Drosophila melanogaster: one gene and its partners. The protein of the gene in region 1 purifies or fractionates together with the protein of each later gene. This does not show direct contact. Each region holds a gene or a part of one and is shown in the gene's direction. Other genes may lie near its edges.

Region 1 (3,756 bases):
TTTTCCTAGCAAAGACTGCTGATTCACTTACAACAATAGAATTAAGCCAAATAAGCATCAATCAGCAATGAAATTCATTAGCGGGAAGAGGAGACTCTCGAGCAGGCACAATATGAATGCCTTGGCCAAGATCTCAATTACGGAAACATCTTTGGTTATAACATGTCTACGACATGGTAATATGATTTCAATCATTTCTCGAAACTTGCATGATTAATGCGTTACAGATTTTTGCCCCCAGAAAGCGGCTTCTGTGGGCCTCGTTGCCTTGAAGGAGAGTGAAGACCTCGTCCTGGTGGGCCTCCGAATTGGGTTCATTTTTCATGCACAGGCCGTGGCAGCAGAAACTAAACTTCGAGGCTAAGACTAAGCCCCAATAAGTTGGATGGGCCCAGATGACACCGCAGCATATGGGGCGGATAATTAATCATGGGACGAACGTGCCAGGACGCCCAAAAACTTTTCACCCTTCTCCGGCTCTCCGGGTCTCCGAGTTCCAAGTCCGCGCAGAACTTAACTTAACCGAGCAACATTGAATCGAATCGACCGAGATGTTAAGATGCGAGGACTCATGGCTGGGCAAAGGGAATATCTGATTAGTTGGCCTCTCGAATTTAATTATGGTGACAGGACAGACTCTGCGGCGGCAGCCGGATGCATCCTCGGTCTCCTGCCCTCCACATCCTCCTAGTCCTCCTCCTGCTGCTTCATTCGCCTCTCCTGAATAATTTGTGCAACTCAATTAGGCGTTGACCCCACGATAAAGTTTAATAATTGCAGGTGGTGGACGCCCTTCTTTCGCTCGAACTTTAATTAAAAGAACCGAGCAATTAAAAACGCATCATCAGACAGAGCGCAGCGGCTTGCAGAAAAAATGCAATACATGCTCCCGATTACCACATACCTGTTATGTAGGAAATAGGAAAGGTCAGAATTCATGAAAATTATGCTAAATGTTATGTTAACTCCATTGGGGATTTGATCCATACGTGCTCATATTCTTATTGTACGGTTGTCTCGAATTGTGATGTAATTTCCGTAACACGAAGAGCGCCCTAATAGGGCGTGGCACTTTTTTAATGCACTTAGCAAGTGTTTTTTCGCCACACGCAGAACGCAAAACAGGATCACACAGCCCCGCCCTGAACCGCCTGATCTGGGAAATTCGGGAGCCGGAAAACCGCAAGGAAAACCGCACGTGTAACCGCGCTTGCTCCACCGCGTCGTGTTTGTGGGGCTGCTCCGCTTTGGAGGCAGACTGCGGTGCGACCACGACAGCAATTAACACGGAGGAACCAGCTTCAGATTCAGGTCTTTGGCATTTTCCGGGCATCCGAGTTTTACGACTTTGCATATTCGAATATTACCCAAATAACCGCTGAACTTTTCATTTCTCCACCACTTTTAAACTGGCTTTGTCAGGTGAAAATTTTCAAGCACGTCACTGCAGTGGATTGATTTGCAATCATCAATTTCGATAGAATTTGCGAGGCGCTGCAGCAAAACTTTTATAACCGCGAAATTAAGTGCACAGTTCGAAGGCAGCTGACATTCTCGTTTGAAAAATACCAACTTTCTTCAGAGCAGCGCTGCTAACGCCTATAATCAGTTCACGATTGCACTGGGACCTATCGATATCGATAGACTTAGGCGTGCTCTGCATGTTCGAATGGCCGAGTGGCCATTTTAAAAACTTATAATCTTTCCGAAAGCAACACTTGATATTGTTTATTTCGCTATTTAGGTGCCATTAGCATAAAAAATTTCCAGTTTTCATTATGAAAAAACTTTTCGATAAGTATACCAAATTTCGCAACAGCACTTATCGAAGAGAGCAACACCAGCTGTCAAGCCACTGGAAGTTTCACCTCTGATATTTCCTGTCAAGTCTTTCCCGCAAGAGGTCACACCACGTGCGCTGCCAATTTGGAAATTTTTTTGGAGAAGTTGTCCTCGCAAATCTGTGATCGCAAATCCCTCAGTTGCTGTTTATTCCTCAAGATGGGTAAGAAGCAGAAAATGAAGAAGGCTGCCCAGATGGCGACCGCTGCCGAGAAATTGAAGACCGCTGCCGAGAAATCGAAGACCGCTGCCGACAACGTGGTGGCCAAAGAAAAGCCTGCCGAAGAAGCCTCTCCCTCACCAAGTGGCAGTGGAAAAAAAGGGAAGCCCAAGGCAACGCAAAAACCAAACGTCGCAAAGGCACTTCAGAAGGAGATCTCCAGTTCGGAAGACGCCTTGGATGTCAAGAATAAACCTCCGGCAGGCTTTAGTGGCGCAAAGGGGAAGCCCCACATCATGGGTCAAATGGACCCGGCCTACCGCAACAAGATCAAGAAGCTGATGAGCCTGGCCAAACAGCTGCCGCCCAATGTGTTCAGTCTGCCGAACTCGCAGAAGGAGGAGGGCGCCTCCGCCGCGAAATCCTGCGTAGTTGAGGATGATCAGAGCACGGACTCCGATGACGCCCCGGATCTCGTGGAAGCGGATCCCAAGGAGACCCAACCGGACGAGCAGGGTCAACTCGGTACGGTGGCCGTGCGAACACGTGAGGTATCAAAGCAGTCTCGCGGCGAGCGGAAGGCACGCCGGATCCTCATGAAGCTGGACCTGAAGCCCATGGAGAACGTGGCCCGAGTGACCATGAAGAAGGGCAAGAACATCCTCTTGTACATCGATCAGCCGGACGTCTACAGAGTGGCGCACTCGTCGACGTACATCTTCTTTGGGGAGATCTGCGTGGAGGACACTAGCACCACGTCCGTCGCCTCCCAGGCAGCTGTCAAGGCGGCCGAGCGATTCCGTGGAACCTCGCCTGCCGGGCGGCAAGGTAACGAGGATGGAAAAGCCCCTGGCGAGGAGTCCCCACACGACGACGACGACGACGAGAACGATGGCGAGGACGCGGATGCCATGGGCCTACATGCGAAGGACATCGAACTGGTACAGATGCAGGCCGCGTGCTCGCGCAAAAAGGCGATCCAGGCGCTGCTGAAGAACGACAACGATGTGGTCAATGCCATCATGGCCCTGACTGTGGGTTAAGTCGCTCTGAGTGGCTCCTTTGTATTCAAAGTCATGAAATAAAGAGAATTTCAATAACATCCATGTTCGCCATAGAAATTAATGGTAATTAAATGATTACAATCAAATCGTAAACTTTCATGTTGTTTTTATTTACTATACTTTCATGTAATCCAGACAATCCTTTCGGACTTCACTTCTCCTGGTGGATGGCTTGTTCTACAAGAATGACAATCTCCGGTGCCAATGTAGCTCGTACTATATTAAATGCCGATCATTTCCTGGTTTTTGAAAATGTTTTCGGTCCCAGCAGAAGAATCCCACTGAAGAACCCCTTTGTACAGCGAAATTGCCATCTTATTTCAATTTTCTAATGAATTGACATTTCCACCATTTCCATCTTGGCACAGTGAAAGCATTTTCCGAAGGGCGAAGAACGCATATGCGAACCCGAACCATTTTCATTATACTCGTATTTGCTCTTCCATCAGCGCTAGACTTTGGCAATTTTCCTTTCAGGTACCGTCATTCTTGGACATTTTCTCTGTGGCGGAAACTTAATCGCTTCTTTCTTTGTGCCGCTGACGCTGCACTCTTGTTTACTCTGCACTTAGTTTTTAGCCATTTGGCGAAGTCCCCCGGCACTCGACTTTGCATTTTTTGCTGGCGAATTTTTGACGACGCCGTGATTGCGTTTCAGCTCTTTCAGGGGATTTCAGGGGTACTCCCAGG
Region 2 (3,756 bases), on another chromosome or scaffold:
TTTGTATTTTCATTGCTAGTATTGTGAACTCGTCTGTATGTGCAGCCAATTGCATTCTGCATTCAGTTCGTGAAGGGAATGCCCCAAAATGAAGCAGGAAGCCAGCAGAAATGCTGATTTTTGATGGAGGTGTGGCAAATTGAACACATGTTCATTGCCAAATTCTTGAATTAAATTGGCAACGAGCATTTCCAAATTGATAATCAACAAAATTTACATTCGGGTGTTGGTAATTAAAACACGGAAAGACAAGAGAGCAGAAAGTTCTAAATATAACAGAAAAAAAAACAAATAAATTAAAGCTTGTACTCTTTAAAGTATCTACACATGTCATATATTTTTAAGTGTCTAAATCCCTTTAAAACATATATGTATCTGCATTTCTAGCGCCTTAAATTATTACACAATCCTGATAACTCATTTATGGCCTGTCGTCTGTGCTATCTTTGTATCTATTTTGCACACTTAAAAAGTTGGCATAAAAAGAACAGAAACCGCAACAAAAAGAAAAAAAGAAACAATAAAACCGAGTGTAAAACGCAGAAAGTAACCACCAGAAGGGAAAACAACAAATTCGAACAAAATGTTTGCCCTTCGCGAAGACAATGCAAGTTAAATTACGTCACGCAAGCGAATTTAACCCCGAAAAAATGGCAAAAAAAAAAAGAAAAGATACTGTGTGAATTTTCGGGTGCCAGCACCAACACACACACGCAAGCACTCACACACACACACACACACACACACTAACACACAGTAAAAGGAACAGGATGCCCCTGTGGATATGCAACGCTCAATTTGCCATTGCCAACCACAATGGCAACCGAAATTGGCAACTTAATTTATGTGCTGCGCTAATTAGCACCATAATTTAATTTCCAATTGGCAAACGGAAAACGGGGAGAAAAAAAATGGGGAAAGCGAGTGGTGAAAAATCGGGGAAAATGGAAAAATGGAAAATGAGAACTGGGCTAACAATGCAAATGCAAATGCAATGCCTGTTGCTGCCAATCGCATATGCTTCGTTTGAGCTGAGATTGCGCGGGTAAACAAAATGCATTTAACCCTTTTGCGTACTCTTCAAAAGAAAAAGGTAAATTAGTTGATATATTAAATAAGTATTATTATTTATTTTTCAAATACTGTTAGTCATAAAATTGTCATTGATTAGAAAATTACTTTTATTTAAGCTTAATTAAGCGAACTACAAATTGTTTATATAATGACTTTTTCACTTTCTCAACAGATATTTCCACTTTTAAAGGGTATCTGTGTGACTGAGTTAAAACCACAAAAATTCCCACATTTCACATTTCTTATTCATTTTCCGATCACTTGCGCTCCGCATGCGAAATTCCGATGAAAAATCCGGAGCTGCCGAAATAAAATCGAATTAAATGCAGTGCACATATGTCGCCACCCCGTGGATCCCCCGTTTTTTTTTTTTGGTGCAAACCAACCCCCCATCTGCGCACACGCCCCCTAACAAATGATGTTGACCGCCCATGGTCATGGATGCTAATTAATCTTGATTTTCAAACCGGGCAAAAGCACGCAAGCAGGAGGAACTGTGAGTGTCCTTTACGTCAAAGTGACAATTAAATTAATCATGATGGCAAACGATTATGTCAACAGGACACACAGGACACAGTGACACACACACACAGTGGACTAGAGGAGCGGCGGGGGAGCTGAACTAAAAAAAGGATGTCGCACATCAGAGCAGAGAAGTATGCATGTCTCTACTGCTTCAAAATCTAATTATAGCCGGAGCATCAAACTTATAATTAACATTTCGACCGCAGCACAAAAAAATTGGGAATGTGCGAAAGAAACGAGCAAAGCGCCAAAAGCAGTTACTTACGTTGCATGTGCTAGACATTTTTAATTAGTTTTGCGGTTAAAAACTTTAGCATTGACTTTAAATTTAAAGAAAGATGTGTCAATGTTTTGCTTAAAACTTGTGGGGTCAACTTTTAACTGCTCTCCTCTCCTCGCCTTTCTTGTCAAAATCAACTTCGTTTAATTTATTGTTTAACAATATGACACTATTTCTTGGCGTTTTGATGATTTTACTGTTTCTTTGGTTGGAAGTGTACAATTGTTGAAGCACACTTTTCAAACTGCGCGCCTTTTGAAACAGGGCTGTCGCTTTCGATCAAAAACAGACAGGTGGCAACGCTGACACGCAGCATAAATGCAATTAATTTAATACAGCGCTAAGTGCATATTGAAAATACACAATTTCCAAATTCGAAATTACATAAAAAACTTCAAAAACTATTACAATAAAAGCCAAGCAAACACTCATAGATTATTAGTTAAATTATGTCGATTGTGTTATCGCTAGTAGTCCATCTCTAATCGCACGAGGTGAAGAAATCGCAAAGAATTTCGGAACTTTTATTGAATTAAACATAAAAAAAAACAATTGAAAATGACGGAAGCAGCGGAAATCAACGGCAGAGAAGAAGTGGAGGATGACGAGCAGGATAAAAAGCAAAAGAAATCCGATGTGAAACGACATGACGACGGCGCCGCAGGTAAATAAATATTTCACATGCCGCAACTCATTCCACTGAAAAATTGCAAAAAAATGACTGGCATCTATGAAATATCATGTATTGTGCACCAATCCTTAATAAATATGGAGTATTAATACTAAAACTTCATCTTGCTTTTAGATTTGGAACGTGTGACGGATTATGCCGAGGAAAAGGAGATCTCTGCGGACAATATATCCAGCGTAAGTTCATATATTTATTAGCAAGGCAATATTTGTATTAACAACATCCTTTTTTTTTATAATTTACAGGCCGTGGAGCAGTTTGGCAACCAGCGTAACAAGGAGAACGAACTGCGAGTAGCCAAAGAGAAGGAGCTCCAGAAGGTCCAAGTCAAGAAGGAGGACATTGAACTGATTGTACGTATGCGAAACTACAAGGAAGTATTCCCTTTCATTGTAGAGATACAAATATAGTTCATTGCATTAGCTCCAGTTCCCTTAGATTTCCTCCTTTGGTTTCCCATAGATAACTTTCTTCCGATCTTCCTTTTGTAATGGTTTCCTTCCCCTCTGCCCTTTCAGATGAACGAGCTGCTGGTTAGCAAGGCGCATGCCGAGAAAGTGCTCCGCGAGCAGAGCGGCGATGTGGTGGCCGCCTTGGAAGCCATCATCAGCAATTGAGGTGCTCGTGGAATCCGAAGCAATCCGCCGTCTGTTTCTTTTATGTAGCGTAACAACACACTGCTTTATTTGTACATTTATAAACTCTAGCGAAGAAAACAATACAAAACAAAAAGACTTTTAAGCCCACAAATGAGTGAGAGTGCTTACATCGTCTAAACGAATTTATTTTGGAGTTATAATAACTTGCAATTTTATTCAGAATATCGCCACTGCCCATGCGTTCCGTGTCCTTAAGAAAAATGTGATGATGCGTCGTATCCGTGTATAATTTATGTTTATAATTTATGTATCCGATTGCTAAATGAAACAAACGCAAAGTCCTTCGTCTCAGCCGCCCACTTATATTCGTAAATCGTGTAAATATGACTTTTTGGCAGTTGCGTTTGCTTCGCTTTCACATATTGCCCGATTGCTTTCTATACGAAATGAAAATGCTACCAAACGTTATTGGGGAAAACCTGATGCCTCATAGCAGCTCTATACGTTTCATTCCGTTTCATTTTTTTTTTTGGGGGAGAGAGGGAAGGTATTTAAATAGACATATAAATTATGAAACAAAATAGACA
Region 3 (3,422 bases), on another chromosome or scaffold:
AGTTCACGAAATTGACACAGTTTCTATCCGCAGGTGTTGAGCTGATCTGTGTCAGAGTTTGAGCGCAGTCAATCCGTTGCCTGCAGAAGAAATAACCTTGTGGACAACTGACAAGAAGCCTCCAGTCCTGAATAATAGGCCAGGGCAATTACCAGCTGCCACAGCTGATCTTTGCAAGTGTTGAGATGTTCAGTCGCTGGAGAATCGCGGCAGACAATCCGTTTCTTGCAGGGATTAACGGAGGATTACCTAGAAGTAAGGGAGGACTCACATTGGCGCCGGACTTGAGCAGACGTAAGGCAGCCTGGACAGCCCAGTAGGCGGCGAGGATGACATCGGCCTGGCGACCACTGATCTTCTGATCCGCAGCAGCGCCTACCACAATTGTGTGAGCGGCCACGGCAATGAAACCATCAATGTGGGCACCCAGATCGCTGTAGAAAAGAAATGTTACGTATTTAGTGGCGGTATATGTGGAATAGGAGGTTCAACTTACATTTTGACCACATCACCGGCCTTTAACGTGTAGTCAGCATCGTTTTTGGCTGGCGAGAAGTGGCAGACACAGTTGTTGACGGACAGACAGGTGGGAAAGGCAATGCCCTTCTTCAGGTCTTTCTCCTTTTTGTATACCTGTTTGTGAAAGATCGATAAAAGCATTAGATTGCTTGTTCGTTGTACTATATATCAATGATAGTGCGCGGTGTGTCCTCAGATCTCATAATCTGTAAATCCTCGGGACCTTTTGGAGAGCACACAAGCCGGGCACGTGGAGCATTGGAGTCCCCGCGTGCGCCTGGCGACCACGAGGTGATCCCCAGCCCGCACAGCACATGGCTCGCCATCGGGAAACCCTCAAAGGTGTAAGTCTTAATCATTGGACATGAAATTGGCGCGAATGACCGCCAGGTGGCCACCACTTACTTTGCCGGTCTCCTCGGTGAGCTGATTGTCGCCCTGGGTGCAGATCTCCCGGACGGAGGCATCAACCACGCAGAGTCCAATTACCGCCTTGAGGGTTTCTAAAATTAAACGAGCAGACAGAGTCCAGAAATAGGCAGATTAACCAACGCGTGGCGCACAAGGGAAAGCGGCATTCGGTGCATTGTGTAAGCGCCACGTAGCAGCGACTCCAGGAATCGGCCAGCGTTCGCTGTTTCCGGCCAAGGAATACTCACTGTTGACGATTTCGCCGGCCAACTTATACTTGGTCACCACCAAATCCTCGGCGATGGTCTTCTCGGGCTCCTTTTCCACATCTGCCATTGTACTTGACTCTAATAATTTTAAAATGGCGACTTAATGAAAATGCGACCGACTGAAACACCACGAGGTAATGAACGTGTGGCCAGGCGCAGCGCAGGTATCGAAAGTTCCAGTGGCGTGTATGGTGGGACCGCTCATTCGCCTTGACAACCCTGGCAAATGGGCGGTAAGCTTAAGATGAGCGTGAAAGCGTAGATTGCTAGTCGTAAACACTGAATGAATTTTAAATAACACTTTGAGCTATATCAAATGAGAATATTTCATAGTTTTACATATTGTAATCCACTAATATTTCAATAAAAGTTTAAATATTAAGTTTCGGTTTTTTTCTATTACACATAAATGGTCCCTCTAAAAATAGGAAGTCAAAGAGCTCGAAATATCGATACCATCACAGTGTGACCGCTTGTGGAATACCGCATTCGGTATTTTTCTTAGCACGAATTTGGACTAAATGCATATTACAAGTCATCTTTAACAAAAAAAATTTGCATTGAACGTTAATAATAACATTTACTTGCTTAAATCCAATTCGGCTGCCGAAACAAAAGCTCAATTAATAGAAACCTAATCCTATCACCATGTCCGTGCGCGTGATCAACGACGAGTCCCACTTCCAGGCGGAGTTGGCCCAAGCGGGCATTCAATTGGTTGTGGTGGACTTCACAGCTTCGTGGTGTGGTCCCTGCAAGCGGATTGCGCCCATCTTCGAGACGTTTCCAACAAAGTACCCAAAGGCCATCTTCCTGAAAGTGGATGTGGACAAGTGCCAGGACACGGCTGCTGGACAGGGCGTTTCGGCCATGCCAACATTCATCTTCTACAGGAACAGGACCAAGATCGATCGCGTCCAGGGTGCGGACGTCAATGGGCTCGAGGCCAAGATCCAGGAGCACATCGGTACATCCGGTGGCGAGGAGGGGGGCGAGGATTACGGGCAGGGATTGGTAATATAGTGCAGTATTTGGAAATGTTCCAAAAATAATCCCTAATCCTTCTTACAGATGGAACTGAATACATTTATTTCGAAGCAGGAGTGCGAGTGCCTCAACGAAGCTGATGACCACAACTTAAAGCACGCCCTGGCCTCCGCCGGTGGCTACCTGCAGTCCGATTGCGATGAGCAGCTCATCCTGTCCATCACCTTTAATCAGGCTGTGAAGATCCACTCTTTGAAGTTCAAGGCACCTTCGCACCTGGGTCCCAAGGATGTGAAGCTGTTCATTAACCAGCCCCGCACGATTGACTTTGACATGGCCGAGTCCATGAACAGTGTGCAGGATCTAAGGTAGCTATTGCCTTCTCTATGGCTGCTTAGCTCTTCTCACTGTTCAATCCATTTTGCAGCCTGGCTCAGAAGGAGCTGGAGAGTGGAGTGCCCGTGAATCTGCGCTACGTCAAGTTCCAGAATGTGCAAAACATCCAAATCTTCGTGAAGAACAATCAGTCAGGTGGCGATGTGACGCAGATTGATTATATCGGCTTCATCGGTTCCCCCATCATGACCACCAAGATGAACGACTTCAAGCGAGTGGCTGGCAAGAAGGGCGAGAGCCACTAAGGTTCCATTGAAATTTTCAGCGTTTTTCCCCAATGACGTCCCAGCATTTCTTTTCAACTTTGGACTTACAACTAAACAATATACAACAAATGCATAAAAAATCATACAAAATAAGGATCAACAAGATAATCTAAATATCCATCGGGTTAAAGGCTGCTCTGGTAAGAGTCCAGTTCCTTGGTAAGCATTTTCCACGCACGCTCCGCCTGTTTCTGGGTGAATTCGTGATCCCATTGCGAACTGAATATCACATGCGACTTGGCCACGATCTCAGAATTGGGCACCTGACTGGCCAGTCGCTTTTGGGCCTCCACTTCGCTCAACTTGTTGCGCTCAATAATCCGCCGCACAGCCTCATCCGGTGGCACAATCATGGACCACACCTCATGGCAATTGGTCTCCCAGCCCGCTCGCAGCAGCACCGCTGCCTCCAGGACCACCACACGCGGCACGTCCGCCTGGGAACGCAGTGCATCCAGCCGCCTGTTAACCTCCGCAATAAGTTCCGGCCAGACAATGCCGTTGAGTGCTTGCAACTGCTTGGGATCGGCAAACACCAAGGGTCCCAGCTTGGACCGATCGATGCGACCATCGT

Evidence for each region.
Region 2: the proteins of gNacalpha (region 1) and CG9922 purify together in Drosophila melanogaster (affinity purification with mass spectrometry, with the first as the bait; one large-scale study listed by BioGRID). This does not show direct contact.
Region 3: the proteins of gNacalpha (region 1) and Txl purify together in Drosophila melanogaster (affinity purification with mass spectrometry, with the first as the bait; one large-scale study listed by BioGRID). This does not show direct contact.

Annotation. Positions count from the first base shown.
Region 1 is NT_033779.5:1,035,378-1,039,133, forward strand, and holds gNacalpha (germinal nascent polypeptide-associated complex alpha subunit), read left to right. Parts: upstream 1-1,868; 5' UTR 1,869-2,001; coding exon 2,002-3,045; 3' UTR 3,046-3,129; exon of another isoform or gene 3,130-3,156; intron 3,157-3,201; 3' UTR 3,202-3,308; downstream 3,309-3,756.
Region 2 is NT_033777.3:14,034,611-14,038,366, reverse strand, and holds CG9922 (uncharacterized protein), read left to right. Parts: upstream 1-1,968; 5' UTR 1,969-2,437; coding exon 2,438-2,543; intron 2,544-2,684; coding exon 2,685-2,746; intron 2,747-2,815; coding exon 2,816-2,923; intron 2,924-3,088; coding exon 3,089-3,187; 3' UTR 3,188-3,349; downstream 3,350-3,756.
Region 3 is NT_037436.4:5,764,163-5,767,584, forward strand, and holds Txl (Thioredoxin-like), read left to right. Parts: upstream 1-1,683; 5' UTR 1,684-1,847; coding exon 1,848-2,213; intron 2,214-2,270; coding exon 2,271-2,554; intron 2,555-2,613; coding exon 2,614-2,827; 3' UTR 2,828-2,922; downstream 2,923-3,422. Other genes in the region: CG10576 (uncharacterized protein), read right to left, coding at 272-434, 497-633, 925-1,022, 1,179-1,266; Ppat-Dpck (bifunctional phosphopantetheine adenylyltransferase - Dephospho-CoA kinase), read right to left, coding at 2,974-3,422.